Stegostoma tigrinum: one gene and its partner. The protein of the gene in region 1 purifies or fractionates together with the protein of each later gene. This does not show direct contact. Links are inferred from orthologs where the notes say so. Each region holds a gene or a part of one and is shown in the gene's direction. Other genes may lie near its edges.

Evidence for each region.
Region 2: the proteins of actin-related protein 2/3 complex subunit 1A-B (region 1) and arpc3 purify together in Homo sapiens (affinity purification with mass spectrometry; 8 studies listed by BioGRID and IntAct, counting the BioPlex papers as one, with this or other methods). This does not show direct contact. The link is inferred for Stegostoma tigrinum from reciprocal best matches to the Homo sapiens genes ARPC1A and ARPC3.

Annotation. Positions count from the first base shown.
Region 1 is NC_081376.1:12,149,002-12,164,863, forward strand, and holds the start of actin-related protein 2/3 complex subunit 1A-B, read left to right. Parts: upstream 1-7,435; 5' UTR 7,436-7,569; intron 7,570-15,862. UniProt on the Homo sapiens protein: Probably functions as a component of the Arp2/3 complex which is involved in regulation of actin polymerization and together with an activating nucleation-promoting factor (NPF) mediates the formation of branched actin networks.
Region 2 is NC_081379.1:24,232,102-24,247,450, forward strand, and holds the start of arpc3 (actin-related protein 2/3 complex subunit 3), read left to right. Parts: upstream 1-7,692; 5' UTR 7,693-7,821; coding exon 7,822-7,827; intron 7,828-8,266; coding exon 8,267-8,366; intron 8,367-10,461; coding exon 10,462-10,538; intron 10,539-14,264; coding exon 14,265-14,333; intron 14,334-14,754; coding exon 14,755-14,881; intron 14,882-15,349. UniProt on the Homo sapiens protein: Component of the Arp2/3 complex, a multiprotein complex that mediates actin polymerization upon stimulation by nucleation-promoting factor (NPF).

The DNA of each region.
Region 1 (15,862 bases):
ATAAAATTCAGCTGCAATTTTCAACATGGCATGTGCTTCGAAATCAGTGAAAAATACAGTACTAAGGACAGCTTGAAAACAATTGTTACCCAGTGCTGTATTTGTGGAAGGCTCTTCTCATAAAGAAAATTTGTTGTATTTAATGTAAGACTTAGAACAAATTACATTATCCAAAATTACCGAAATGGTTATTGATATTCCTTTTACACAAGCAATCAGCAAATATCACAAAAGTGAGGCAGATTGGGTTAAAGCCGTCAAGAAGGCTGACAAGACACATATTGTTAATGATATGAAAATAATTGAGTATGTTGTGAATACTTGAAAACCAAAAGAGATTGAAGATTTCATTGAAGAGGTGAAAATTACTTAGCTAATGCTACTTTAGCTTTTGATACATTGATTACATTTGCTGAAAGGTAGACTTATTCTGCATAAGTGGTTATGCAGTTGCTCATTCTGCACTCTACTTTTATGTAGAAAAAGGCAGAAGGCAAATTGGCAACCCGACATTTGGGATTATAAGCAATAAATCATCCAGGGCTTGTAGTAGGCCCCTTTCTCTTACACCTTCTCATCTTAATCGACAGTTGTAGAAGATGCTGAAGATTAATTCTGCTTGGATACCTATAAACAGTACTTTAATACTTTACATTTTAATATGCAGTTGAAGATTAGAAGTAAAATGAACTCTGTTCTTTACTTCATGCATATTATCTGATACTTTAGGCTTGGAAAGTTTATGACGCAAGTATTATTCTGTATTCCTTCTATAAACGTAACTCTCAATTAGCATTTTAATTAATCAGAACCACCCATGTTGGAGAATGAAGATTTTACTCTACACAAGAAAAAGGTAACAATTACCAGAAGAATGGATTACATAAATAATATCAAGTGACCAGGAAAGAATTAGAAGCACTTACGTTGTTTCAAACACAAAACCATAATCAACAAGCGTTGCAACCTCTAACTGTCATTTTTTCCCACACTATTTTAAAATTTTCTGAAATAATTTTCTTCCTTGTTTTTATTTGTGAAATTCAGTAAACATTTTGCAGAAAAGGTAACTTTTTTTTCGTTCAGGAATTGAATTCAGATAATGAATCCGAAACTAACAAATGTGGCTGCAATTTTCTAAAATTGAACAGAATGGGTGATACTTAGTATTTGTTGTGGTGCTGTATGGTGATGCAGTAAATCAATTTAATAAATATAAATCAAAAATCACAATTTCATCTTTATATAAAACTTTTGCTTAATCTGCATTTAGAAGGTTTTGTCCAAATTTTCCCCTCACACAGTGATGCACAGACCCTGAAATAAATTGAGAATAATTAATTTTTTTGATAATTACTATAAAAGGCTTTTATATAGTGACAGCAGATTTAGAGAGCTGAGGAAATATACTCTTGAAAAAAGATGAGGGTTATTGGAATTTTGATGTAATTAAATTGAGGTCTTAAGGATAAATTGTATGACTTAGCTTGTTTGGGGGAGAATCAAGAAACATAAGTAAACTGTTGAATTAACTCACCTACAGAAATGCTTGCATTTATATAGTGCCTTTCATGATAAACAGACATTTTAAGCACTTTTCATCCAATGAGGCACTTCCAAAGTATAGACACCATTGTAACTTGGGAAATCTCAGTTGGCCCTAATTAGAAATTGGGTAGGATCATAATCCTACTATACATAAACAGCAAAACAAAAGGAAAGATAAAGTTTGATGTTGATTCTGACCAAGATACTGAGGATAATTTTGATTAGATTAGATTAGATTCCCTACAGTGTGGAAACAGGCCCTTCGGCCCAACAAGTCCACACCGCCCCTTGAAACATCCCACCCAGACCCAGACCCAGACCCATCCGCCTATAACCCCTGCTCCCCTGAACACTACGGGCAATTTAGCATGGCCAATCCACCTAGCGTGCACATCTTTGGACTGTGGGAGGAAACCGGAGTACCCGGAGGAAACCCATGCAGATACGGGGAGAACGTGCAAACTCCCCTGCTTTTCTTTGAAATAGTGCGATGGAATCTTCTTTAAGTCCAATGAGAGAGAAGATAGTGGTTAGAGAAAGTGGGTGGATGAGTGAAAACAATGTGGTATGTGTTTTCCAGTCAAGATAGTCTTCTTAAATGAAACAGAAATTGTTGAACAAGCTCAGCAGGTCCGGCAGCATCTGTGGAGAGAAAGCAGGGTTAATATTTTGGATCCAGTGACCTGCTTCAGAACTAGACCTGCTGAGTTTTTCCAGAAATATCTTTTTTTTCTGATTTCCAGCACCCACAGTTCCTTGAAATTTTGTATAGTCTTCCAAAACTTGTTTGAATAAATCCGGGATCAGAGAGAAATTTACCAGAGATTTTCTAAGGGTGACCAACAATCTGACAGGTCCTGTATTGAATACTCTCCTTTCATACCTGTCACAATCTTGATATCAGCACAAAGGTCCCAGACTGTTGGAAGGGGTTTACAGGCTGTTAAAACAAAAATGGGGCTGTACTTGTACACATCAGAGGTGAATCGTTGGGCCTTGCCAAAGTGGAAATAGAGTAGACATGGCCCTAAAATACTAACTTTATGAATGCTAATCTCACACTGAGCATGTTCACCAGGATGGGAGAATGATGATCCTACCCAATTTCCAATTAGGGCCAATTAACATACTTGGAAATCTTTTAATAAGAGCATGTGCTGTTTGGGGCAGGCTAGGCAAAATTAAATGGACACAAGTTTGAGAATCCAATTGTGGCTGCCCATAAATTACACTGGCACAATAAACATTTCAATGGTGCAGAGCAGGCTTGGGCCACTGGGAGTCAGGTGCCCAATAACAGTGCAGGTGGCAGAGAGTGGGCAGTCAGCAATTGGACAATGAAGAGGGTCATCACTCTCCTGACATTTGGGCATTTGGGTAGGGAGTGTGTTGAGTGGTTGAAAAACAGCAGGGCACAAAGCAACCGTAGACAATCAGCATTCAGCTAAACACAAGAAAAGCAGCAACTGCCAATAGGGGCATGGGACTTGAAATTTGGATGGCCAGGCTGTGAAGTGCAAAGCTTCCACAAGATGGGCAGAGACCTTGGCATCTAGAGGGCAAAGGACAGATACAAGGTTTAAGAATTGTAAAGATGCCATGCCTTCCATATAGATCTACCACCAAAAAAAGAGGTTGCCTGACCCCAGTGCAACAAGAGATCCTAACTCTCCTGGCAGTTGGTCACAAACATTCATTCCCTCATCATCAAACATCTTGAATCTCACAACACTGGTCACCATACCCTTTAAAAGTCACTCTAGGTTTTGAACTTCTTCACCTCTGGCTGTTTCCAAGGATCTGCTGCAGACATCAGTGCCATCTCAAGTGGCGATACATCGCTGCATCAGAAGATCACTGATGTCCTTTTTCTGAGAGTGAGTGCAGGGATTTCATGACAGTTGCAGCCTAGCACCAACACAGAGTACAGACCCACTATTGCTCACTTCCTCCCAGGTGAAGAACATCACTAACTGCTTTCATGTGAACTACTTCCATTGATGTGATTCCTTCTTACAATGCAGGTTGCTAGAAATCTTCATTCCAACCCCAAAGTCCATTGAAGGAATGGCTACTCATCCCTCTAAGAGACCCTCAGATAAAGATTCTGAGGTGGTTAAATCAAAGCCATTTGCACCTAAGAACAAGAACTGAGCAGGTCATTAAGCTCCTAAAAGTCGCATTGAGTGCCTGGACCAATTGGTGGTATTTTGATATACGCTCCTGCTGGGGTTTCTCTCATACAGTCATAGAACTGTACAGCACGGAAACAGACCCTTCGGTCCAACTCATCCATACCAACCAGATATCCTAAATTAATCTAGACTCATTTTCCAGCATTTAGCCTTTCTGCCTCGAAACCCTTCTTATTCATGTACGCATGCTGATGCCTTTTAAATTTTGTAATTGCACCCACCATCACTTCTACAACTTATTCCATATATGCACGACCCTCTTCTTGAATAAGTTGCCCCTTAGGTCCCTTTTAAATCTTTCCTCACTCACTTTAAACCTATACCCTATAGTTTTGGACTCCTCTACCCTGGGAAAAAGACCTTGGCTATTCAACCTATCGATGCCCCTCATGATGTTAAAGACTTCTATAACGTTACCCCCCAGCCTCTGATGCTCCAGGTAAAACTGCCCCAGCCTATTCAGACTCTCCCTATAACTCAAACCCTTCAATCCTGGCAACATCCTTGGAAATCCTTTCTGAACTCTTTCAAGTTTCACAACATTGTTCCTGTAGCCAGGAGACCAGAATTGAATGCAGTATTCCAAAAAGGTAGATTGTCAAACAAAGCAAAAAATATGAGTGGTAAACATGCTGTTGGGTGTAGAAGAGAGGCCCCAAAACAGCCATGGAAAGATACAGAATCAAATACGCAATCAAATTTTAGAGAAGTATGAGAATTATAAAGCAGTAATAGTCGAGGATTTTAATTACCCAGATATTAACTGGGATAGTCTTAGGGCTGAACCTATTTTTTTGGCTGATGTGTAATGGTATGTTGCACTCTTCATGATGTGGCTGTCCAGAGCACAGTAGGCGTTGAGGGCAACGAGATCCTGGAAATAAGTTGGCGGATGGAGAGGAACAGGAGATTGAACAGAAGGAGCAAGTGGAGGCAGAGTGAGAAGATGTAAAACTCCTGGCTTTGAAAATCTAGACCCCTGGCAGGGTCTCTCAGTTCCACGATCAATCAATGAGCACTCACAATTGGTCTGGCTGTTTAAGGCTTTACTCTTTATTTCTTCATATGGCTGGGTACAGAGCATCCGGAAACACAGAAGTTGAGTACTTCCATATTTGTCAGAGGAGCTGTACACACAACTTAATACAAAGACATTTTTATACTTTTCTCAAAGCAGGGTACAAGGCATGATCGCATTGTACATTCAAACAATTACCTATCAATACATGATATTGCTTCATTGGCATTTACTTGGTCCAATTATATTAACTGGTAAACAACTTAGTCACAATGCTTAGGTCACTTTTGTCCCCCGACACAGTCCCTCCACACCTGCACCCGAAGGTCAGTCAGAGCGGTTAGTACTTCCTTATCTTATCACGTTACTTCTGTATTCTAAAGGGCGTATTGTCTGCTAATCTTCCTTTGCTACAGTCTGGGGGTTAGTTATTCATGCAACTCTAGCTGAATTAATAATTAGCAGTCTAGAAACCATTATGCAGCTCTAGCAGAATTAGCAGTTGGCAGCCTAAAAGCCATTTTGTTGTGCTAACTTGTATCGAGAAACCATCTTAATGCCATTTAAGTTACCAAGAACATTTGTCAGGCAGTTGCTCCTAGCTGCAACTAGTCACATAAGTGCAGGTCCTGAGCCTCCATATCCTAGCCAAGCCTGTATTCCAGTTTTAGACTCTCAGCTTCATAAAGAGGTGGCCAGGCATGGGCAGGATGCAAATGTCTTTTTAGGAAGCCATGTATGTGATAGATCATTTCATTAAGGGACTTTGAAACAAGTCCCTCTCTCCCAGAATGATAGGCAAGGGACCCAAGTCACTTCAAGTTATTGCATGAACACACCCATTTAATCACATCCATGAATACTCACTGTATTATGAATGATGTACAGGTATCCAGAGAGTTTGCCCTCTTCATGGTTTCTTCATCACCTCACTACACTTTTTTCACCATGTTGCCAATAAAAGGAATCTCAAATGTATACCTTCAAGTTTATAAAGTGATAAGAAAGGGAAACAATGCACACAGATGGTAAGACAACACCTAGTGTTGTAATCAGTACTTTCTGTAATGCAATGGTTTTCACACTTGGCTAATCCTAGTCAAGGTTCTCTTGTAGCCTCAGAAGAAATGACAGCAGTTGACGTGTGACTGAGATGCATATATGGCAATCATCAGCATCATAGACGTGCCCCTAGGGGCATCCATGGAGGCTGCTTCAACTGCTTTATTTCAGGTGTCAGCTGTCCAACTTGGCCCTTACACTGTCTGAAGAGCTGAGGAGGCCAGGGATCATTAAGACATCTGTGAAGGGTGGCACATGCTTCTCTATGACACCCTCAATCTGGAGGAGAACATCAACAGCAGCATAAAAGGCATTTGCTCCAGATACCTCGATCCTTTGATTACATTTATCGTATGCAATGCCAGCACTTTGCTCCTGCATCCACTCTCAATATGACTCACAAAGGAGGAGCATAGCTCTGAGCTATCGTGGGTCATGTGAGCGGCATGAGCTCCTTTATTCTCAGCCAATGGCCCTGCACCATCTCGGGAAATTCTCATATATGGGAGCACATCTCATCCCTCAATTACAAGCAGAACCTCCTCTCTAGTGACATGCAAGGTTCTGCATCTCTACCAGGCTAAATATGTATTTGTGTCTGTCCTCCCTCCTTGCAAGGAAATTCCCCATAGCTGCCAAGGACACTTTTCCTAAACACGTACTGTTTTTTAAAGATGTGTCAGGATCCACCAAGATGGGAGCATCTTTGCCAGTGTACGGTGTGCTTTTCAAGTGCTTCCTCAGTTTCATGAATTCCCACGTAAGCTATGAAGGGAGTTGGAGAGTGTCAGTGAGTGAACAGCTACAACTTTTAAAGACACAAGAGCAGATCGTAAGAACCAGCCTCCCAGCGCAAAAGTCACGCAGCTCTGAGATTTCAGTATACACCTCCTGTTCGCCATATTGCTGAGCAGGATGGTGCCATCTACTGAACATTGTCATACCCTATTGTCACCATCTGCATCAGTGGTTTCCAAGTTACCATAGTTGGAGGAAAGAATCAGACACAATACGTTCTGCCAAGTAAGGTCAGTCGATGGAATTTTGAGACTCAAAGGAATGGACAGTCCCAGTGTACATAATTCTGAACCAATGACCTCGCATACAAGGTCCCTCTCGCAGAATGGACAACAGATGAAGAGAAACAATGCCTTAAGATTTGATTTTACTTTTTTTACAGTAAACATCGAAACGTGTTAAAATTTTAAAACTCAAAAACAAAGTAGTATCGCTTACAAGGTGAAACTACCATTGTCTTGGTTGGATCTGATCTGTGATGGTTGGCTTAGTATTTATCTGCCCTCCTCACACCCATAGCTATGATCCTGGAGAGAGGAATGTGGGATGTTTGCACCTCAGGGGCGCGCGGCCATCGTTGGTACAGATGACAAGATTATTTAATTCGCCAACATTTCTTTGCCTCACGATATGTTTCCACTCTGTGCCCTACAAAAAATGGGCTTTGTTTGTTTGTTAAGGGATAACGGACAAGCTCGTGCGACCTGTTTAATAACTAAACGACATTGAACAGGTGAGCCAGCCGGGAGCGCGCCGCCGATCGAAGGGTCCTCTCCACGTGCACGCAGGCTCCGTAAGGTATGCGTGCGCGCAGCCGGAGTCCGCGTTGGTGCGTGCGCGCGGCTGCCGTTCCCGGATCCCGACAGTCCCGTCTCCGCCTGGTGACCGAATTCGTGTCGACTGCCCAGAGTCCGCGAATTCAAGCCCGACACCGACAGCCCGCGCCAGGTAACGGCTGGGAAGGGGACTCGGGGGCCGGGGATCCGACAGCAAGGAAGCCGGGCCCCAATTGAGTGAAGACGCCGTTGAGGCCTAGGCCGGGAACGACCCGGCAAACCGACAGAGCCGGCGGAAGGAATGAAGGAGGGAGGGCCGAATGGTCGGTGAGCGGAGCGGCTGGCCTCGGTCTGTCGGTCACATACCGTGGGAAGCCTGACTGAAAAATGACCGCCGAGACCCAGGAAGCTGTTCTGTGACCTATTGACCGGCCCCTTTTTCCTCCTGTTCCCCTCCTGCGACCTGCCCCTGACGGGGGTTCAGGCCCGGTATGGGAGTACGTCCGAACGAGGGGAGGATGAGCCTTGTTTTGGGGCTCGGGCTAGCAATATCAGTGAGGGCATACAACAAAAGTGAACATGACCCAATAACCGGGACAATTCACTACTGAGAGTTACTACAGCGCCAGATGGTCAGAAATACACATTTTCCACTGGAGTTTATTAAAGTGGGTTGACTATGACGGCCTAGACTGAAACTCGGGTGTTTAACAATGCTGTTGTATACTGGAATTATTGAAGCAGGGCCAGTATTAAAACAGATGCGGAGACATTGTTGTTTTTGTGTTGATTTTCATTTCTTCCCCCTTAAAACAATAATTACTTTGGGGTGGGACCAAGTTGACTCGTAGATGCCAGGGTTTTAATTTGAAATGAGAGAAAGCATGAAATTTTAGCAATTTAAAGCATGTTACCTGATACATCCAGTTTTTGTATACCTGACATGATTAAGCCAGATTGTTGATAGTCCTCAGTGCTAACATACTTTGTGAGCAAGGACAGGGTTCTGTAGTATTTTCTTTTGACTGGCCAATGCAAGTAAAGTTTCAGAAGCGTTTTTTATGAAATCTTTTAATAATCTATGAATGTTTGCCTTGTTAGGTTAACTCACAGTCTGTAGGTGCCTTTTTGCCTCAAGGTGCACAGGCATGTGAAATCTTTACCCAACTACATCCTTCCAGATTTAGGCTTTGCCAAGAATGAGAACATTGAGCCTCTTGGTGCAAGTGTGAAACAAGTCTGTGTTATCCAGTCCTTGTGAAAGGAACACATTGACTTTATGACTTTAGATTATTTTGTTAGAAATGTAAGTTCTTATTCTCCCTGTAATATGTTTGTACCAGTCAGCTTAAATGGCCATACTTTCATGGGGTTTTTATTGTCAAGTGTAAAATATTGTGAGATGCAACTAATAATTTAAGTAATGTTGGCCACTTGCAGGATCTTAAATGTAGTATGGTTTAGGTACTGGGAAGAGCTTGTACTTGTGTAGCACCTTTCACATCTTTTGGATACTGTGGTAATTCACAATTATCTTGAATGGTAGGAAATTTACTACAGGCAAGTGTGACAGCTAACTTGTGCATATTCAAAGAAGTATTAGTGTGGAAAGAGCCATTCAGCCCATTATGTCTGCACTGAATCTTTGAGTAAGCATCATTACAAACTGTCGATTTTGTGCCTTTTCTCAAGACTCATTATTTTTATTCGAGTAATCATCTATTATCAGGATAACAAAGTGTGGAGCTGGATGAACATACGGTCAAGCAGCATCTTAGGAGCACAAAAGTTGACGTTTCGGGCCTAGACCATTCATCAGAAAGGAAGGGTCTAGGCCTGAAACGTCAGCTTTTGTGCTCCTAAGATACTGCTTGGCCTGCTGTGTTCATTCAGTCCCGCACTCTGTTATCTTGGATTCTCCAGCGTCTGCAGTTCCCATTATCTCTAAACATCTATTATCTTCTTGTTTGCCTCTGTTGAACCTGCTTCCACCACTTCCGGGCATGCATTCTGTACCCTGCAAGAAAAAGATTTTCTTGTCACATTTGTTCCTTTTTAAAATCGCTTGAAATCTGTGGCCTCTAGTTGGTATTTTAATAAGAAAAAGCAGTTTCTCTCTATCTGTTCTATCAAACAGCTCAATTTTGAAAACCTTTGTCAGATCTCTTAGTCTTTGAGGAAAACTGTCCCAGAAACCATTTTCATAAACTGCTTCAGTCTCTGATGTGCTCATATCCTTCCTATAGTATGTTGTCCAGATCTGTAACAGCACTCCATTTGAGATCTAATTAGTTTGTTGCATTTCTCCTCACAGTATAAAGTCCTTCCAAGTTTTGTGTCCTCTGCAAACTTTAAAATTGTCACCTGCACCCCAAGATCTAGATCATCAATACACATCAGGAGAAGTAAGAATCTCTGGGGAACTCCGCTACAAACCTTCCTCCTTTTGAAAAATATCCATTAACTTTACTGTTTCCTAACTCAGCCAATTTTGTAGCCATGTTGCGAGTGTCCCTTTTATTCCATGATCTATAATTTTTCTCAAGTCTGTTGTGTGGCACTGTTAAGTACCTTCTGGAAGTCCACGTACACTGCAACAGCATTACCCTCATCCAGCCTTTCTGTTACCTCTTCAAAAAAAATTCAATTTCCATGAGATTGGGGGAGCGCCGGAAAAGAATTCCATTCCATTCCAGTCGTGCTCTGCCTAATGGCAGGTCCTTGGCTCATTGCTGTTGCTTTGTGAGCCAGTCTGTTTTTTGGCGCTTTCTGTCATTGGTGGTTTGCCATTGGCTTCCACTCTAAGGGACATATTGCATTAGGTCATTAGTCAACTTCAGTTGTAATGAAAATTGAAGCTGCACGGTATTCTGAACAACATGTTGGCCCTCTAGCCAATGAAAGCAACTGACCCCACTAATAAGCAGCAGTTAGATAAATTACCTGTTCTAATACTGTTGGTTGAGGGTTGAATGTTGGTTGAGGCACTGAGAACTATCCCTTTTCTTCCTTGAGATAGACAGGGCCTTGGATTGTGTCTCATCTGAAAGATGACACTGAAATATGCGAAACTTACTCATCAATTCTGTTCAGCTTCCGGGCTTGAATCCATGACATCTGTATAGAAAGCCTACCTCTAAACTTAATTGACAGATTTTTAAGCCAGTGTTTTTTATGCTCTAAATTCAGAAAACTTTGCAATTATTTAGCTAAAATACAACGGTACATAATTTAATCAGCTTTTAATAATCTTTACACTGTATAAAAGTGAATGAAGGAGCTGCTGTCATGTTCTTCCTCCAGAAAGTTCTGATGTTTTCTGACAATTAACTTCAACTCTAAATTTATGCTTTGAAATGCCAATTATTACAGAGCGTTGCACTTTTCATTGGTTTAGAATGGATATTTGTTTTCTGAATTTAAAATTGTATTGTACTAACCTTTGGTATCCAGTTATGGGACTTGAGTCATTCGGTTGAAGTCTGAATAGGGTGGGGAAACAATAAGATAAGAGAGAAGGAATGTAAAGTGTTCTTGTCAAACAATCACGGCAAAAAAGAGTTGATTGTGACCAAAGACTTACTTACAAAGACTTAGCAAAAACAAACCTTGCTCATTTAATTGTCTCATGTTTTGAACATATTCAGTGGCAGTTTGCTGTTATTTTCATGTTTTGCTGTAGGAATTACGAAAAATCCAAGTTGTGCTGCTTGGTTTAAGCAACTTCTATGCATATTATGTGTATTTACACAGCTGGGTCATTGAATTAACATGATAGTTCAGTGCAAGAGGGAGTGTTATGGAAATGCAATGTTAAAGGAACAGTTCTTTTGTTAATCTAGGCTTATTAGATACTGTGGACATGGTTATTGTATATTAGTTATGTTTTATTGATTACAGATGGTAGGTATTAGTTGCAGATTCATGAGAGGGGGGTCAGTCAGCCTAACTACCTGCCTGTCTACTGTGGCTACGTGCAGGCCTAGATGTCCACTAGTATGCTTCAGGCATTCTTTGACTAGGGGGCATGCTCACACCTGGGTTCTTTGTTTTAAATACTTTATTTACTACAATACATTAGTGGCATCCCTTTCAGAAGAGGTAAATGGTTGAATCCAACTGAAACTGTAGTTTTGAGGTTTGTTTTATTCACCAACAGGTTAGGAGATATATACTTGTAATGTTAAATGCTTTAAAGTGCTTAATAACAGGCACTGGTTTTATCTTTTACAAACTGCCTTTCTAGGATGTAATGTGGTAGCAGGGAACTGTTACATTAAGCTAGAACTTGAAAAGAATTTCAGTTAGAAAACTACAATCTTAATCACCATTTTACAAAATGGCTGAAAAGTTCAACTGTCAAGGCATGATTACTCTCTGGTACTTGTACAGCATTAATTTCCAAATATCCAGTTATCCCTCATGGCAGCTTTTTTTCTAATGCCTCCAGTGTTACTGAATTTTCAGATTACTTGTCCAACATTCAGCACTGGATGCGCAGAAACTTCCTCAATCAAATATTGGGAAAATTGAAGCTGTTTTGATCCCTATTCCAAACTTTGTTTCGGACTGCCACTTCCGTCCCTCTCCCTAAGATTAAAGCTGTCTGTTCTCAACCTTGATGTCCCATCTGACTGAGATGAGCTTCCTAGTTCATTTGTACCATCACTATGACTACCTTTCTCCATCTCTGTAACATCATTTGACTTTGTCCCTATCTAAATAGATTTACTTCTGAAATCCTTGATTATGCTTTGTTGCCCCCAGACTTGATTATCCCAGTGCACACCTGGCTAATCATCTCCATTCTATTCCCTATAAACTTTGTCATTTAAACTCTGCCAACTGTGATTACTCTAAGTCTCTTTCATATATCACCTATATGCTCATTGACCTACCTTGATCAAGCATTGTCTTGATTTTAAAATTCTCATCCATGTTTTTGAACTTTTCCATGGCCTGTCCTGTTCAATCTCTGTAAAATTAATGGATCTTCAGGCTGCTCGGTCAGGCAATTGTATTCCTTCAGCAAAACATGATGTTTCATCTTGGAATATTAGGCAAGTAGTAATGGAATCAAAAAGTGATAATCAGAGAAAGGATAATTATCTTAAAGATCCAGAGGCAACTTTCTCATCCTAATTCTCGAAAGTTAAAAATCCAGTTAAAAGGTGGAGGCGTGGCACAAGAAGATTAATGTGATCCAAGAATATAAGGCTAACAATGATTAGTGAGAGATGTTACATCTGTAAAAGGTTATTGAGGAACGTGCCATGACAGAATGTAAGCCTTCCACTAGCATGTGACTTTAGTAGGTAATTGCCGTAGAACTAAAAGTGTGACAAAGAAATAATTGGAGCCTACATTTTGTAAACCTGACAACCTGGTTTTATCTTAATACAATAATTCTTGGTAAAGACAAAAGGGTTATTATGGACAAAATCATGCATATATGGAAAGGGGCCAGATATGGGTCATCAGCAAAGTTTCTGACAAACAATTGAAAGGAGTTACCAATAACAAGTTCCAAGATGTGAAAGTAAAAATATCATGGTCATGAATATTGTAGTTGAAAATTCTTTCGGCAATAGACTGTGACAGAAATCATGTAGTGAGCTGTGAAATGTTGCATAAAATGCTAGTTGATCAGCCAGACATCAAGGTGACAATCTCCCTAGAATGGGCACTTCATTCTATTAGGTGGTTGGAGAAAACAACCCTTAGCAACGGTCAATGAATGAAATCCCAGATTGACTTCTATATCGTACAACATGCTTGGTCTTGAAAGTGCAGTTAATTCAATTTTTCTATATATTTTATTACTTTACATGTAATGAGATGGGATTTCATCAAGTCTGAGGTCTCAAAATTCAGAGGACTGAGGTAATTTAGGAGAGAAAAAAATTACTTGGGAGGCTTGCTTTATAATAGGATTACAGGGAACAGAAAGACACTTATAGATCGTGATAATGTGTGTATTTATCAGAGAAGGCAAGCTAGTAAGTTCAGTTCATAGTTTTACAAAATCACAGACTGTGAGAATTTGAAAGAAGTAAACAAGGTACCTTGTACTTCAAGTACTCATGTTTTGTGATGTTTCCTGAGGAACACAATGCATTTGCTGTGGGACTGGATGATAATCTGAGTAATTGTGAGACTTGAAAGAATTATCACATTTAAAATACCAATTACCCAAAGTGGTAATTTCTAAGAGATGTTTCTGTAACACCCCCAAAGAGGCAACAAATGCAGAAGAAAAGCTAAAGAAGTGCAACAGTGGCTGAAATGGCGTTTTCAGGGTGTGGTATTTTTAATTACATTTATAGTGCTAAAATAGGTTATGTTCAATTAAAAGCGTATCCCACAGTGTTTTGTTGGTATCACAAAGGAACCTTTTTAAGCATCTTCATGATTCATTGAAAATTCTTATGGATGGTACAGTGGAATTCAAGGAATCTAGTATTAATAAGATGGGAATGAAATGGGAGTTAATCTTGTGGGGCTCTTGTATATTTGTTCACATATTACTAGGGTATGGCAGGACTAATCTGAAGTCAATAATCCTGTTTAGTGAGTGTGCCCATTCTAATTAATCATACTAGGCCCTCAAAGAAAGTTTAAAATTTATATCTAAAGAGAAGACAGCAACTGTGGAGCTTGTTTGATTATTTGAACTGCTTGATCACTCAGACAAGACCACCTATTTAGTTTTACAAAGTTAGACTTGAATACTGTGATGAGGCATCCTGAAGTCTAGAATGTTTTAATGCCATATAAAACATTAAAATTAAGGATGAAGAAATGGATAATTTCCCACCCTTGCATGACCCAAAGAATATAAAGCTAGTAATGGATGTAAGTTTGCTCGCTGAGCTCCAGCTCCAGAACCTCAACCTGAGCTACAAATCTTCTCAAAACTTGATGGAGCTATTAATTTTTACGATGCTTTGCATATAGATCAGCTGATCAGAATTTTGGTGTCACTGGTTATATATTTCCAATGAGTGAAATAGGGAAATGTTTTTATAGATTGGTACGATTGTGAAAAGTACTTCAGCTTGTGGTGGCAATAGATGGCAGATTCCATTTGTTAAAATTGAGAGATTCTACACCCTTGATGGACAGAAGATAGAACATCAATTTTATGCTGAACAGGTAGTCGATAATTATACAACTACAATCGGCAGGCACGAGTGAGAAAAGATTGCAGATTGATGTTCTGGCTTGAAACGTGCTGGAGAGGAAGGACATCTGTCAAAATGGGTGGCTACAAATCAATTGCCTGTGTCTGCAGTTCTTTTTACATCACAAAATGTTAAGTATCCTGAATGATCTTGAAATATAATGATCTCAGTGAATACAGGGTTTTTTGATTTTCTTTATTTTAAAAGTCACAGTTGTATAAATAGTACTATTTTTAAGAGTTGGAGGCATCTGTTAATTTCATGTAAATTGTTTAATTGCATGCTGGTGGTGAACATTAATTGGACATTCAGTGTCCCTCCCAAAAGACAAAGGACTGAAATTGCTCACTTACGAGGTGTATGTTTGTAATGTGAAACCATAAGTAGATGCTTAAATTTGCACTGATTCTACTTTCACCAAATGGCATTCCAGAATATAACAGAGGCATTTATCAAGATCTAGATGTTCCAGTGCAATTCTAATCAATACTCATCCCTCAGATTGTATTAACATAGATAAACCAGTGATTCATCTCATTGTTTGTAGAAATGTGTTGCTTGCATGCTGCACCTTTATTGATTAAAACAATAGTGATGGTACTGTGGAAGTAATTCCTTGGCTGTAGAGCACTTTGGAGCTAGCACCCAAAGATGCAAAAATCACTTTACAAATACAGATCTTTTCTTTCTCACACCTGTGTATGTGCTTAATCAAAAATTATGTTGTAATGAATACTTCAGCAATTTTAATCAATTAAAAAATTAGTTGATTTTAATTATCCTGTCACTAGTCTATTGACTGCCTTTTAATGTATTTGATCTTACTGTTAAAGTACTGCCACCCAGATCTGTGTTTCATGTCGTTGGAAAAACAATATTCTGAAATGTTTAAGTATCAGTTGTTGATCGCATATGTGATTATGTGCCAAAAGGATGCAGGATAAATCCTACTATTTTCCGGAATCCTTTTAGGTAACGGGTAATAGTTAGCAATAAAACTATGGAATCTTGGAAGGAACAACATTGCAAATTGACATTAATCTTATAATTTTTCTCAAAGTGTCAAATCCTATACAAAGTTACTAGGTTAAGCTCTGTTTCTGTCTCTATCAATAAAGTGTTATAGGCATGTCGATTTTTAATATACTGCTTGGACGGTGGAAAGCACTTCATTGTACAAATCTGGAGTTTGTCCAACCATGCTATAGAGCTGTGTGGGGTTACTGGGGGCAGTTACAGATAGATGTATTTTGCACATAAGACTGAATGATAAATTGCATT
Region 2 (15,349 bases), on another chromosome or scaffold:
ACTTGTTTGTTGCAAGTGCTGGACAGGCTCTGAGGAGGTGAGATATTTGCTGAGTTTCCAGTCTCTGACTTCCTCTCGCCGTAACAATATTTATGTATCTGTCTAGTTTTTAAGTTTGTGGTCAGTGGGTGACCCCCTGGATGTTGATGCTGGCGGATTCAGAGATGGCAATACTGTTTAATGTCAAGAGATGGTTGGAATATCAGTCATCATCATTGTCTGGCACTCAATTGAATGTTTTGACTGTTAACAGCCCAAACCTGAATACTGGGCAGTCATCAGAAAAGTCCTCCCTTGTAACTTTATGATGGAGGAAAAGCTGGTTGTGAAGCAGTCAAGAATTTTCAGGTCGAGGATACTTCTGTGGGGACCTCCTATAATATGCGGCTGAAAAGATGGACTTTCAGCAGCCATAACAGTCTTTCTTTTGTGCCAGATATAATTCAAGTCAGTTTGTTTAATGGATTTGAGCTTCCTTCATTCTGTCTTCATGGTGATGTTTGCTGCAGAATACAGCTGTGCCACAAAATCCTGTGCCTACCACAAAATCAAGGACTTGCAGCTGGAGTAGACTTGAGGCTGCTGTTGTCATGCAAAATGTTCTGGCTTTAATCCATGATGATCCAGAGAGTTGAAGGTAGCTAAGATATGGTCTCCATGTTTGTGCTATTTCAAGAGGAAGTTGCCATCCATGTCATCAAGAAGTTGAACAAATACCCTGAAGTGGTCATCTCTTTGGAAAATTTATGAAAGCATTTTCCAAAATATTTACACCTGAAACTATTCCCCCAACCTGACAACCACCTGGCATTTGTTACACATTTAATAGAGACCAACGTAATGTGATTTTATTCCGTAAGTTGCATACAAATACCTATTAAGCTTCTCAAGCAAGAGCTTAAGAAGTGAACTAAGCCAAAAATAAATCCAACTGTGTGAAGATTGTGACTACATTTGTAGAAAGTTAAGTCAAACTTAAAAATTAGTCTAACCCCAGGCTTTAAACAGGCTATCAAAGGATATGTGTATCACTTTTGACTAAGTGTATTTATGGTAGAGATTAGCAGTGACTGATTTGAATATTGAAAGGGGCTACAAGTGTTGATTAGCCTAGTCCCACTTTCATAGCTTCACACAGTTTAATTTGCAAATAATTTTTAACTTGTACTGTGTGAAAATAAAAGCTTAATTTGATGCCTCAGTTCATGCAACAGGTTTCAAACATAGCATCACCACCACCTAGCACTAGCCTTTTGACAGTCGTCTAAAAGGAAGTATTAGTTTGTTTCAAGTGTAAAAATGTAGAATAAATTTATTATTTTGTTATACCTGAAACAAATTTTACAATAAGAAATTTTGCGATGTTCATATAATGAGCCCCCCACGGTGGTGCAGCAATAGTGTGCCTACCCTTATTTGAGAGGTATGGATTTTGCTCCTGACTTGTGTATTAACATCTGAACAGGTTGACTAGAACAATGGGTTAAATTTAAAAAAAACAAAAAAAATGTAATTACTCTGCATAGTCTTGTGTTCCAGCCTGATGGATGGGCATCTGAGGTTATGTGTCTCAACCTTGGCTGGATTGCAGAAAGCTTTTTTTTTCCATTTTACACAGGTGAGTCTCCTGGGTTGATGCAAGTTCCATGAATTGTAAGTGCTTTCTTGAACAGTGAGCTGAGAAATGATCTGGGAAATAAATGGGAAAGGTGAATAAGGTAGAAAGAGGGAGTCCTTTTCAATTTTTTTTAACAATCAAAATGCAAATCTTTCTATCTCAAACCCTGTTGATTTGAAAATCTAATATTAGGTTTCTGACTTAGTACACATACTGCACACACGTGCCATTTGTTCAAGTATTTACAATCTTTTATATTAAAAAAAATTACATTAATCATCAACTAACTATAATTTGGAATGAAGCTAAACCTGCAAGACCTCAATTTGATGCAATTCAGAGTCTGAAACTGAATGTAATAAGATGCTGTTGGATGCCCTGAAGAGCTAAGGATTAATGAGCAAACTTCCTTTTATCTTAGAGCAAGACTTTTTAATATAAACAGGATGGCTTTGAAGTGCCATGAGAAGAAAGCATGGTTAGTCTTCTGCTTTGTGTGTCCGAGTGTTTTATGTAAGAAATGATTATACAGAGGAATAAATGAAAGTAATGATGTCAACAACGTGATTAAAGTTTAAATTTGGTGGCTCCTGTGATAAACATTGTCAGATGTCACATGACAGCAGGTTATAGTCGAACATGTTTATTTGAAATCACCAGCTATTTTGTTTTTTAAAAGTGCTCCAAAAGTTGGTGGTTTCAAATCAACATGTTGGACTATAACCTGGTGTCATGAGACTTCTGACCCAGTCCAATACTGGCATTTCCGCTTCATGGCAATGAACATAGTTTGAAGAACTTATTAACTACAGCAGTGTGAAAGATCATGGTTATTAAAGCCAACTGCCACCTTTAAGAATCCATAAACAGTTGAATCAGAGTTTTGTTTGGGTAGTTGTAGTTCTGGAGTGTTTTTTTTAAACTGTATAAACCAATATTTTCAAAGGATTAGGGAACTGTAATTTCATGAATTCTTTGACATGCGTCTTGATTTGATTTATTATCGTCATGTGCTGAGATACAGTGGAAAGTATTGTTTAACATGCAAAATAGGTAGGCAAAATATGATTAATGAACCAAAGGAGCATGGTTTTCAACATTTTCTTCAAAGGAGTTAAAAGAAAAAGCCAGAAATCAAAATCCCTTACATCCAGCTAAACTACACTAACTATCAGTACATCCTATTCCACTATCCAGTGTCTGTGCTTACTCAAAATCTATTGTCGTCGCCCAGGGAAAGGAAGAAGTTGACTGACAGTTGAATGTTAACAGGAGACATTCTCATCATTACCGCTTTACCTCTTCCTTCTTCCCCCTCCCTTCCCCTCTCCTTCCATGCTTCTCTTAAAGCAAACTCCACATGCTTTCAGCAGAATAGAAAATACAATTGTCTCCTGGCTAATGGCTCAAAATAATGTGAATATACTGGATGCATCTCATAACTTTGTTTAACATCCTGGATGAACTTTATTATTGCACAATAGCAATTTACAATCCAGAGGACAGCTTAACTCAAAATATCCAGTTTTGCAGAAATTAAGAAAAATTGTACAGAAAGAAGGAAGTGTTGGATTCAAAAGTTATTAAATGATGTTTCTAAAACACATTCAACAAAAGTACTATGAAATCTTATTCAGAAGTAAAGATTATGTTTACAATGTTTATTAAAATCGTCTCCATTTTTGAAGATATTCAAAATGGGAAGATTAATGGCTGAATTTAGGGGAAAATATATGCCTGTTAACATTGGCTCTCAAAGCAAATTTAAAATTCAAAGTAAATATTAATTTGGAGTTTTAACACTCTCTTTTTCCTCACAGATGCTTTCATACCTGATGAGCTTTTCTGGCAATTTTGTTTTTGTTCACTGTTTTTGGGTAGTATCCTGGATTCATAGCCATAAGCCTGTATTTTGGGAGGCTGAGTTGCTGATATCACCACTGACACATCCTGTTTTAAAAGTGGAAATCAAAAACAGCAGTGCAATGGGTCACTGAAATAATGTGATAATGTGACAACTCTTGATACAAAGGCTGCAAAGATGCTAAATATGTTATTTGCCTTGGCTGTCTCCTTTTTGAGGTTTAAATAAAACTAAAATTATCTGGAAAGTGAAGTGGGTAAGGAAAGAGACAATGTTTCTCATCACCATTCATATTACTACTAGCATGGTTGTCTAATAGGTGTGGAAACTTGAACTTGAGTTGGGTAAAATGCATTTGAAAATCTTTTAAAGAATTAAAGAGAAAATTACAGAAATTCTGGCATAAATCTTCCAGAAATCATTGTGTAGTGGCAAGTTGTTTGTGACTGCATGAAGGTAAGTTGTGAATTTGTCACGAGTATAAAATTATACAAAGCCTCCCTAAAGAGAGAATATGGACCACTTGGATAGAAATAAAATCACTAAAGATTATCAAAGTGGATTTGTGAAAGGAATGATTTAGTATTGTAATGCCATTGATTAACATTATAGGGACTATCATAGGGTTAACAGAGGGATTAACCTTATAACATACTTAGTATCTTTGCAGCCTTTTTACCAAGAATGGTCACATTATCGCATTATTTCAGTGACCCATTGCACTGCTGTTTTTTTTAATTTTCACTTTTAAAGCAGTATGTGTCAGTGGTGATGTCAGTTATGATGTTTTAATTTCAAATCAAGCTGTTGATACAGAACTAGAGAACATGCTTTGTTTAAACGGTGGAATGGTAAATGCAAAATGAATCCGCAAGAATAATGTCGGTCAGTGGCTTGTCTAGGGAACAGTTCCCTGGAGAGACCATAAAAGTTAAGTGTTGATTCAATTTATTCAGATGGCATTTCATCTGTATATAATTCAAGACATGATCTGTGCACTGGATGTAACACAGTTAGTGGATTTGAAGGCATGAGAACACAAAGTCCAATAGGTGTCATAGTTGTTGCCGACTCACTTGTCATCATTATAATTTTACTAGTGGTGGGGAGACAATCTGCTGACTTGCACCATGGTGGGCCAATTGTAGTCCTTTAATGCCCAGTTAAGGATCCCATCCTGCTTCTGCTGGGAAAGGCCTATCAGCTTACCACGTGTCAGGCAGGCAAACATAGGAACAGGTGTGTTGTTAAGCCTTCTCTGCCATCCCATTATTTTGACTGGGTGATTACCCATCCCTCTGTCATGTTCCTGTACTATCTCTATATCCCTTGTGAAATTTAGTCTCCAAATTGATTTCTCATTTGAACACACACTGCACTCTGGGACACAGCATTCCAAAGATTCTCATCACCCTCATCGTGAAATTCATCTCATCTTGGTCTTAAGTGGCATACCTCTTTAAACTAATATGGTGCTCCCAGCCTAAGCCTCCACATCCACCTGATCACACGCTGTAAGAATTTTGTAAGTTTCAAATGAGGTCACTCCTCAATCTTTGAAACTTTAGGGAATAGAGACCCACAATCTTAACTTTATAAGGCAGTTCCATTATCCTGGGGATTTATTTGGTGAATCTTTCATTCACTCCTTGTATGGCAGGTAATGAGACCAAATCTGTACACGATATTCCATTTGAGGAGTTAAAGGTTTTATACAACTGTGACTTTACTCCTGTAATCAAATAGTCTCCACTTAAGGTCCACACATTATTTGTCTTACAACGCAAGTGCAACAAGCAATTAGTAAGTCTTAAGTGACTTATTAATAGGGATATCCAGTCCATTTGCCAGCACTCCTCCATCCTCACTTTTCCACCCTACTAGTCTGCATCCAAAGGATCATATACTGCCATATACGGCACCTCCAGTGGGATGCCACCACCAGACTTGTATTTCCCTCCCCTTCTTTGTCAGCATTTTGTAGGCATCGTTTCCTCCAGAATGCCCTGCTTGACTCCCAAAACAACTCCATGGCACCCGTTCAAACAAGGTACAACACTTGACTGTTTACCTCCTCACTGCAAAGCCTCAGACACATCTTCCAAGTGAAGCGGTGACTTACCTGCACTTCATTCAATGTAGTCACTGTATTGGCTGTTCACAATCCTCTATATTGTGTAGACAAAACAGACTGGGTGACTGCTTTATGAAATTCTGTATACAAAAATGACTCCAACCTTCCAGTGATTTGACACTTCAACGTGCCACTGTGTTCCCATGCCAACATTTCTGTTTCAGACCTGCTGCAGTCCTCCAGCGAAGCTCAACACGACCTGGAGGAACAACCCTCACCTTCTGGGATGGGGGTTAGAATAAATAGAGAAGGGTTGAGGTCAACAGTATCAGGCTAGCATAACATGAAGCAATCCCTGTCTGGGTGAATGAAAACATGTACCTAGGACTGGAGATATCATTAATTAGACTAATATATTCTGATAAGGTTGGAATTTGCAGATTGACTAAAGGTGTATAAATTAATTGAATCTCTACAGTGTACAAACAGGCCATGCAGCCCAACAAGTCCACACTGACTCTCCAAAGAGCATCCCATCCAGACTAACCCTGTATTTCCCATGGCTAATCCACCTAACCTGCACATCTTTGAACTGTGGGAGGAAACCTATGCACACAGATGGAGAATGTGTGGAGTTTGTACAGAATGTTGCCCAATGCTAGAATTGAACCTGGGTCTCTGATGCTGTGAGCCACCATGCTGCCCTTGAATTTCTTTTATTTAGGAGAACTTTCATTTTAGTTGAAGGGTGGTTATGGTAGAGGATTTTCTCTTTTCAAACAGAGATAGGGACTGCCATAATGTTAAGGGCTTGGATGGAGAGGAATTTAAGCATATACAAGAAAATTTTCTGATTATGTGGATGTACCTAGCAGAGAAGGTGCAAATCTTGACCTACTCTTGGGAAATAAGGCCAGGCAGGTGACTGATGTGTCAGTGGGGGAGGCTGTTTGGGGCCAGTGACCATAATTCTATTGTGTTAGTGATGGAAAAAGAATAGAGATGGTAGGAACTGCAGATGCTGGAGAATCTGAGATAACAAGGTGTAGAGCTGGATGAACACAGCAGGCCAAGCAGCATCAGAGAAGCATGAAGGCTGACGTTTAGGGCCTAGATCCTTCCTCACAAAGGGTCTACGCCTGAAACATCAGCCTTCCTGCTCCTCTGATGCTGCTTGGTCTGCTGTGTTCATCCAGCTCTACACCTTGTCATCTCACAGAAAAGGACAGACTTGTTTTTGAGAAGATTTGTAGCTTGGTTTGTGGATGAGGTTGTAGACGAGGTTGTAGACTTGCTCACTAAGTTGGTGTGTTTGCAGATGTTTTGTCACCCTGCTAGGTAACATCAATGTACCTCCAATGAAGTGTCAGTATTGTGTCCTGCGTGTTATTTATATGCTTCCGTTGGCATCACTTCCGTTGTGTTTCTCAGTAGTTTGTATATCAGGTCCAGTTCATGTTTGTTGATGGAGTTCTGGTTGGAATGCTAAGCCTCCAGAAATTCCATGGCTTGTTTCTGTTTGGCATGTGCTATTATGGATGTGTTGTCCTAGTCGAATTCATGTCCTTCTTTGTCTGTGTATAGTAAGACCAGTGAGAACTGGTCGTGGCTTGTTGGTGTTTAATACAGTACCATTTATTGTTTTTATACCATGTTTTCGACTCTGAAAGCTTATGTTTTCAAATTGTTGGCCTATAACTTGATGTGATGAGATTTCTGACCTTGATCACCTCTATGCTTCGTCAAGGACAACAACTCTCCAACTTCTCACATACATCCCAGAGTCCTTCATGCCTGTGACTCGTCTTCTGAATCCTTCCTGTATCCTCTGATAGGTCCTACTGTGTGGGGCCCAGAATTAGTTGCAATACTCCAGTGAAAGTTGAATCAGTAAATTGAGAACTGCAGTCCTGAACTGACCCCCCCCCCCCCCCCCCCGGATGGGGAAGGGTCGGGGGGGAAAAAATCCTCCAGTAAAACGTGCAGATCCTTCATAAGATAATAAAACGTGAGGCGGGATGAACACAACAGGCCAAGCAGCATCTAAGGAGCACAAAAGCTGACTTTCGGGCCTAGACCCTTCATCAGAGGATCCTTCGCCAGGTTCTATCTCGTGTCACGTGGGAATAGCGTTCGCCGTGCTCACTCCCGCACCGCCGCCTGACGCCGCGCTCGTCACCGACAGGGTGGGACTGGCGGAAGAGCTGAGAGTGACCGAAGCAGAACCAATTTATTCTGGGCGCTTGTTCAGTTGCAGGTTGTAAAATGCCGGTAAGTTTCTTGAAGGGTTTTTATTTAATCCCCCAACACCTTCCTGTATCGGAGCATCCTAAACTCATGTTATTTGATGGAAGTTAACTGAAAAATCAGAGTGGATGTGAAAAATCAGGAAGTAGGCCGTTTGGGCCTAAGCAAGATTATTAAGAAAAAATATTTGTGTCTTTGGTCCAAAAATGTACGGTTGAGAGAACTGTGTATTTTGTCACCTTTAGCTTAATGAAGTGAATTACTTTAATTCAATGATGTTATTTGATGCTAACCTTCATGGAGCATCCTGCATCCGTTTTACTGGAAGTTGTGGTCTGTAGTATTGATCTTAATCACCTACGAATACAATCTTAAAATCAGGAATATATTTGACAGAAATATGCCAGTTGAGTCGGTATACTAGGGAAGGACAGCATTTCTAATTGTACTTTTTCTCTCTCAGGCTTATCATTCAACCCTTATGGATAGTGATGTAAAACTGATTGGAAACATGGCATTATTGCCGCTTAAAACACAATTTAAAGGACCAGCTCCTAAGGAAAGTAAGTTTTGAGATTGATTTTATGAAAACTGAATTATACAACACTTGCATCAGTTTGTACAGTTATGCATAGGGAAACAGTTTAAGTGTTAGTTTTGTAATTTAAACCAGTTAATAATTGTAGAAAGTTCTTTCAAAAAAAATCTTGGTGCCAGGGAAAAAGCACACTTTTTAGTTTACAAATAGACACATTTCCATACAGCAGTGTGGTTGTGATGTAAATTACTGCTTTGGGAAATGTACCTTGCATGGGTATATTTATTTTATCATATCTACTATCATTTGGTAACAAGGGGAGTAAAGGCTAAATGTACTCCTGCTCTTGTTTTGATTTAAGTACCAAATGCAGAGGCAGTTTGACCATGTGTTACTCTATTGATTAAAATTTGCCTTGTCAAAAGCAGTTTTCCACAGCTGGATTTCTGATTAGCCACATGTAGTGCATGGCTAGTGTATTGAAAAATACTCCAATTGAATTGTTGAATGCATTCAAAAATTCTAGTTCAACACATGCAGCATGCAACTTGCACCCGCAAACATCAGCTAGGTTCTCTGGAAAGATACTGAAGTTTCAAAAAGTAGTATTTCTTTTTATAATGTTACTTTTGGTCACTCTTTGGCCTGGTAACTGTATTTAAGAGCGCTGTTAGTCGACGTGTTGGTGTAGGTTGTACTGTCATTCAGGTTTGAGAGCATGGAAAGAGGCTCCGAGGCCTACCATGTCCATGACCTTCATCAAATATCATTTATTGTAATGTTCCATTACTTGGTCAGTAGCCTTGCATGCTATATGGCATTTCAACTGCTTGTCTAAATAGTTTGTAAATGAGTTGAGGGTTCCTACCTCTGCTACCCTTTTTGGGCAGTGAGTACGAAATATCCAGAACCCAGTTTGGGGTTGGGTGGAATTTTGCAAACCCCTTTAAAACTTCTGCTCCTTACCTTAGAACTCTGGTTCCTCGTTTTGAATCCTTCTGCTGGGTGAAGAAAGCTTGAGAGAATAGCGAGGGAAAGTGCAATTATACTTTTTAAATGTCATAGGAAGATAAGATTTCTTAAAAAAAACTTTCATGGAATGTGGGTATCAATGGCTAGGCCAGCACTTATTACCGATTTCTAAGTGCCCTTGAGAAGGTGCTGCTGTGCTGCCTTTCTGAACGTTTGCAATACGTGGTATATTGATATAGCAATGATGCTGTTAGGGAGGGAATTCCAGGATTTTGAACCAGCAGCGATGAAAGAATTCTGATATAGTTCCAACGAGAAACTTGTGTGTTTTAGAGGGGAGCTTACAGGTGGGGATATTCCCACACATCCACTGCCCTTGTTTCTCCTAAGGTTAGTCATGTATGGGGTTGGAAGGAGGTGAAAAATTTGCTGAAGCTTGTTTCTTTTTTGTACCGTCCACCTGATGGCCAAAGAAAGCATGCCAGCGTGACAGTCTAAATGTTGTTTTACATTCTAAGTCAAATGTAATATAAGCTAAAATTATGTAATTTGCAACAGTTAATGAAACAAGGTGCATATTAGATTAGTTGTGGGTTTTCAGCCAAGGAGGCCAGACACTGCATTCTAGTTAAAACCAAGAGGACACGCTTTTTGTTTTGATTGGAACATAGTTGCCTGTAGAAAGAAGACTTAATTGATGATTGAAATGACTACCTGAATGGGTCAACTTTGAAGTTTAATCAAGGAGTAAACTCATTTGGTGTGGTGTGGGGTGAGGGGAGGAGAGAGAGGAATCGATGACAAGAGGCCGTAGATTAGACATAAGAGACAGGAAGTTTAGAGCAAAGGAGAAGAAAAACATTTTGATCCAAAAGGTAAAAACTAAAAGAACTGCGGATGCTGTAAATCACAAACAAAAGCAGAAGTTGCGGGAAAAGTTCAGGTCTGGCAGTATCTGTGAAGAAAATGTGGTTGGAATATTTAGGTGGTGGTGCTTTTTGACTCTGTGGGCCCAAGGGCTGCTTTCTGTGTTATTGACTTCTGTAATTATGACTCTATCTCCCAACTGGGGACAACAAATTCAAACTGTTAATTTTTTGTTATGCTTAAGGATTTAAGATTTGGTTATCAATAATGATCTTTTCCAGCTAAAGACACTGATGTCATTGATGAAGCAATCTACTATTTTAAGGCAAATGTTTTCTTCAAAAACTATGAAATAAAGGTAGGTTTGTTTTCTGATTTGTCAATTGTAAAGATTCTTTTTAAATAAAGTACATGAATAATTTGTCGTGTATTCAAGGGAGTAATGCGTCGTGTAGTATAACAAAGTGAAATCACTTCGGCACAAAAGTAGTGTGATTATGTTTAGACAGTGTTTCTGACATCAGCCAATGTCCAAGTACCCTAATTTGTCTTAATGAGCCAGAAGATCGAAAGGAGACTTGCAGTGGATTGTTTTTGTGGATGTTTTACTAATTGATCTGTAAATTGCATCACTACAGAGCTAAAACAGACTCTCCACTTTCTCTCTACTCAGTAAGAATCAAAAAAAAGACTTTTTCATAAAGATACATTAGATTAAAAAGCCTGTTGAGTATAAAATATTAAACCATAATATGGCAAAGCAAGTAATTCCTTATAGGAAGTCTATCTTAATTATTCTTAAGTACTACAAAAAATCAAATTCACTTGTTTAAATACTGATATGTCATCTTGGGCATTTGGCTAGCAGATGTTTTGATTTGCATTCATATTAAAACTGTACAGTGCTATGGATGTGCCTACAACCAGCAGGCTGCAGTTTTTCAAGAAAGTAACTCGGGATCACTCTCCAGGGCAATAAGGAATGGGCAATATGCAGTGGAAGCAGAATTAGGCCATTTGGCCCATCGGGTCTGCTCTGCCATTTGTTCATGGCTGATGTGCTTTTCTGCCCCATTCCCCTGCTTTCTGCCTGTAACCCTTGATCCTCTTTTTACTAATAAAGAACCTATCTATTTAAATCTTAAAGGCACTCAAAGACTTGACCTGCATAGCCTTGTGCAGCAATAAGTTCCACAGATTCACCACCCTCTGACTGAAAAAAAATCTCTTCATAGTTTTAAAAGGTTTTCCATTCACCCTGAGGCTGTGCCGTTGGGTCTTAATCTCATCTAGTAGTGGAAACATCTTTTCCACGTCCACTGTATCTAGATCTGTCAGTATTCTGCAAATTTCAATGAGATTTCCCCCTCATTCTTCTAAATTCCATTGAGTACAGACCTGTTAGGATTATGTACAGAGTAATCAACCACTCTTCACATGATAAGCTCTTGAGCTCCAGCATCATTCTTGTAAATATCTTCTCGACCCCTCTAAAGCTAGCACATCCTTCCTCAGATATGGGGCCCAAACTGCTCACCATATTCCAAATGTAGTCTGCCCAGGGCCTTATACAGCCTCAGTCTATCTCTGCTCTTGCATTCCAGTCCCGTTGAAATGAATGCTCACGTTGCATTTGTCTTCCTAACTGTCAAATGAGCCAAAGGTTAACCATCAGAAAATTCTGAACTAGGACTCCTAAGTCCCTTTTGTGTATCAGATTTCTGAAGCACGTTCACCATTTAGAAAGTAGACTTGTGCTTCTATTCTTCTCACCCAAGTCCATAACCTCACACTTTGTATTTCATCTTCCATTTCTTTGTCAAGTCTCCTAGCCAGTCCAAGTCCTTCTGCAGTCTCCCCACTTCCTCAACACTGCCTGTCCCTCCACCTATCATAGTGGCATCTGCAGATTCAGCAACAATACCCTCAGCTCCTTCATGCAGATCATTAATGCATAACATAATTAGTTGTGGTCCAAGCACCGAGCCCTGTGGAACTCCACTAATACCAGCAGCCATTCTGAAAAAGACCCTTTCCTCCCCACTCACTGCCTTCTGCCAGTCATCCACACCAATGTTAACACCTTGCCCCAAACACTACTGACTAATTTAGCAGCTTCCTGTGCAGTGCTTTGTCACAGGTGTTCTGGAAATCCAAATAGGTTACATCCACTGGCTCTCCTTTGTCTAACTTGCTTGTTAGATCCTCAATCTTATGTCAGAGCTGTGCTGACTCAACCACATTGTACCATGCACTTTCAAGTTCTCTGCAATCACATCCCGAATAACGGACTCTTAAATCTCACCAACGACTGACCTCCGGCTAACTGGCCTATAATTTCTTGTCTTCTGCCTCCCTACCTTTTTAAACAGTTGCAATGTTAGCAATTTTTCAGTCCTCCAGGACCCTCCTTGACTCCAGTGATTACTGAAAGATCATCAGAAATGCCCTCAGAATCCTGGGGCATAGTCCTTCCAGTCTAGGTGATTTATCTGCCTTCAGACCTTTCATCTTTTCTAGCATCTTCTCCCTACTAATGGCCACTGCACTTATCTCTGCCCCCTAACTGACCTTAAAAGTTCTGGTATACTGTTGGTGTCTTCCGCTGTGAAAAATGATGCAAAGTCCCTGTTCAGTTTCTCTGCCATTTTTGGTCCTCATAACTATGTTTCTAGTCTCATTGTGCAGCGGTCCAATGTCCATTCTTGCTATCTTAGATATCCTACAAAAATTACAGTTGTCTTTCATATTATTAGCCAGCTTACTTAGCCAGTTATTTCATCATCCCCGAATCCCCCTTATTGCTTTTCAGTTGTCCTCCACTGGTATTTAAAGGCTTCCCACTAATCTTCGCCACATTGTATGTTTTCTTTTATGTTATCTTGATATCCCTTGACAGCCATGGTTGCCTTGTTTTCCCCTCAGTATGTTTCTTCTTCCTTGGGGTGAATTTCAGCTGTGCCTCCTGAATTATCTTCAGAATCTGTCATTTGCTGTTCCACCATCTTTCCCAGGCTCCCCTCATGTCTTTAGCTAGCTCTACTCAACTGTTAATACCATTACATCTGATTCCAGCTTCTGCCTGGCAAACTGCAGAGTGAATTTTATCATGTTGTGGTCACTGCCCCCAAGAGGTTTATTCACCTTCAGCCCCCTAATCAAGTCTGCCTCATCACTAAATCCATAATTTCCCATTTCCTAGTGGGTTCTACCTCAGGCTGCTCCAAAAAGTCGTCATGTAGACATTTCACAAATTCTTTTTCTTGGGATACACTACCAAGCTGATTTTTCCCAGTTTGCCTGCACATTGAAGTCCCTCATGATTATTGTAATAGTGCCTTTTCTTTCTCCTGATTTTATTTTCTGATTACTGTTAGGGGGCCCATGCATAACTCCCGTCAGCGTCTTATAAATGCTGGCCTAGTCAGTAACATCCACTTTGCATAAACAAGTGAAAGGATACTTGACACTTTTACTTGTACTACTTGCTTATGTTGTAATGGGAGTTATTTTAAAAATTATCATTGTTCATTATAATTCTGTACTACTCCACCAAATTTGTGAAGGATAGATTTTTTTCTTGCTGAGCAGACATTAAGGGTTGTGGAAGCAAGATAGATAACTATTTATAAAACCATGAGGGGCATAAATAAGGTGCAGAGCAAAAGTCTTTTCCCTAGGGTGGGGGAGTTCAAAAATAGGGGGCAATTTTTAAGGTGAAAGGTTTAAAAGGGACCTAATGGGCAACTTGTTCACATATGCACCGGTTCATATGTGGAATGAACTGTCGAGAGGAAGTAGTTGATGCAAGTACAGTCACAACATTTTAAACACTTAGACAGGTACCTGTCTAGAAAAGGTTTAGAGGGATATTGGCCAGATGCAGGAAAGTGGGAGTGGTTTAGTTGGGGCAACTTGGTCAGCAAAGACTAGTTGGACTGAAGGGTCTGTTTCTGGGCTGTGAATCAATGACTGAGTTAAACCATGATCTAATTGAATAATGGAACAAGCTCATGGGGTTGAATGATTCCTGTTTTAAGGCTGCTTGTCAGATATTCAACTAACAAGCTGTTCGTCTTTGTAGAATGAAGCTGACAGAACCTTGATTTATATCACCCTCTATATTACAGAGTGCCTCAAAAGATTACAAAAGGTAAGAGAAGTACTGTTTTTATAAAATGCCACTAACTTTCACTTGACTTGCTTTGTCAGCTGTTAAAGTTGATAGGCAGACTAGCTTTTATGGTGTTACTCCAGCCAGTTCCACCCAGCAGATGTGTGATCTGAAGATTTTGTTTTATAGCTGGATTCAGGAAATTTAGTTCAGTGAGATTGAATGGTGGTTAGAATGTTTCTGCTACACTAAGCATTTGCATGAAAAGCTTTTACAAATATGGAAGAAAAGTAGAAGCAGCCCTCGTTAATGGTGAGGCTGTCCCACTTTTTCAGACATGGTGAATTGTGAGCTAATAGTTTTTTGTCAAAATAGTATGCATTTCATCTCATACTCGCTTCAGGATTATCTTGGTATGTGACCAAACTTCTCATTTTGTTTTTCTCTTTATTTTACACAGTGCAATTCCAAAAATCAAGGAGAGAAGGAAATGTATACCTTGGGGATAACTAACTTTCCCATTCCTGGAGAGCCAGGCTTTCCTCTTAATGCCATGTATGCAAAACCTGGACACAAGCAGGAAGATGGTATGAGGAAGTAGCATCATTCAAATCAAATAATCTATGATTAAAGGACAGAAAAACATAATTAGTTTTTTCAACTACATACATTTTTGTTTTAAAAAAAATTACTGGATGCTCATCATGCCTCTGTAACAAGTAAATTTTATGTTGATTTAAGCTTAGTTCCACATTATGATTGAAAAATACTTAAGCCATTGAAGTTAAAATTTTAGCTGTGTCGTTCGGAATCCTTTTTAATTTCTCGATTTATGCTCTTAGTCAATTCGAGTTGTGCACTTTCTCAGAAATAAAAACCCTTTCTCTGCTTCTAGGACTTTACTAGAGAAGCTCTGAAATTGACTAGTGAAATGTAGGAATCGGGCTTTCTAAATGTTCCTGTTGGAAGTTTTCTCTCAGACCTTTCTGTTCTCTGTCACTGTAATTGTGATTGATGCGAGGAGCTCACTGTCATTGGGGATGAATCTCTCCATT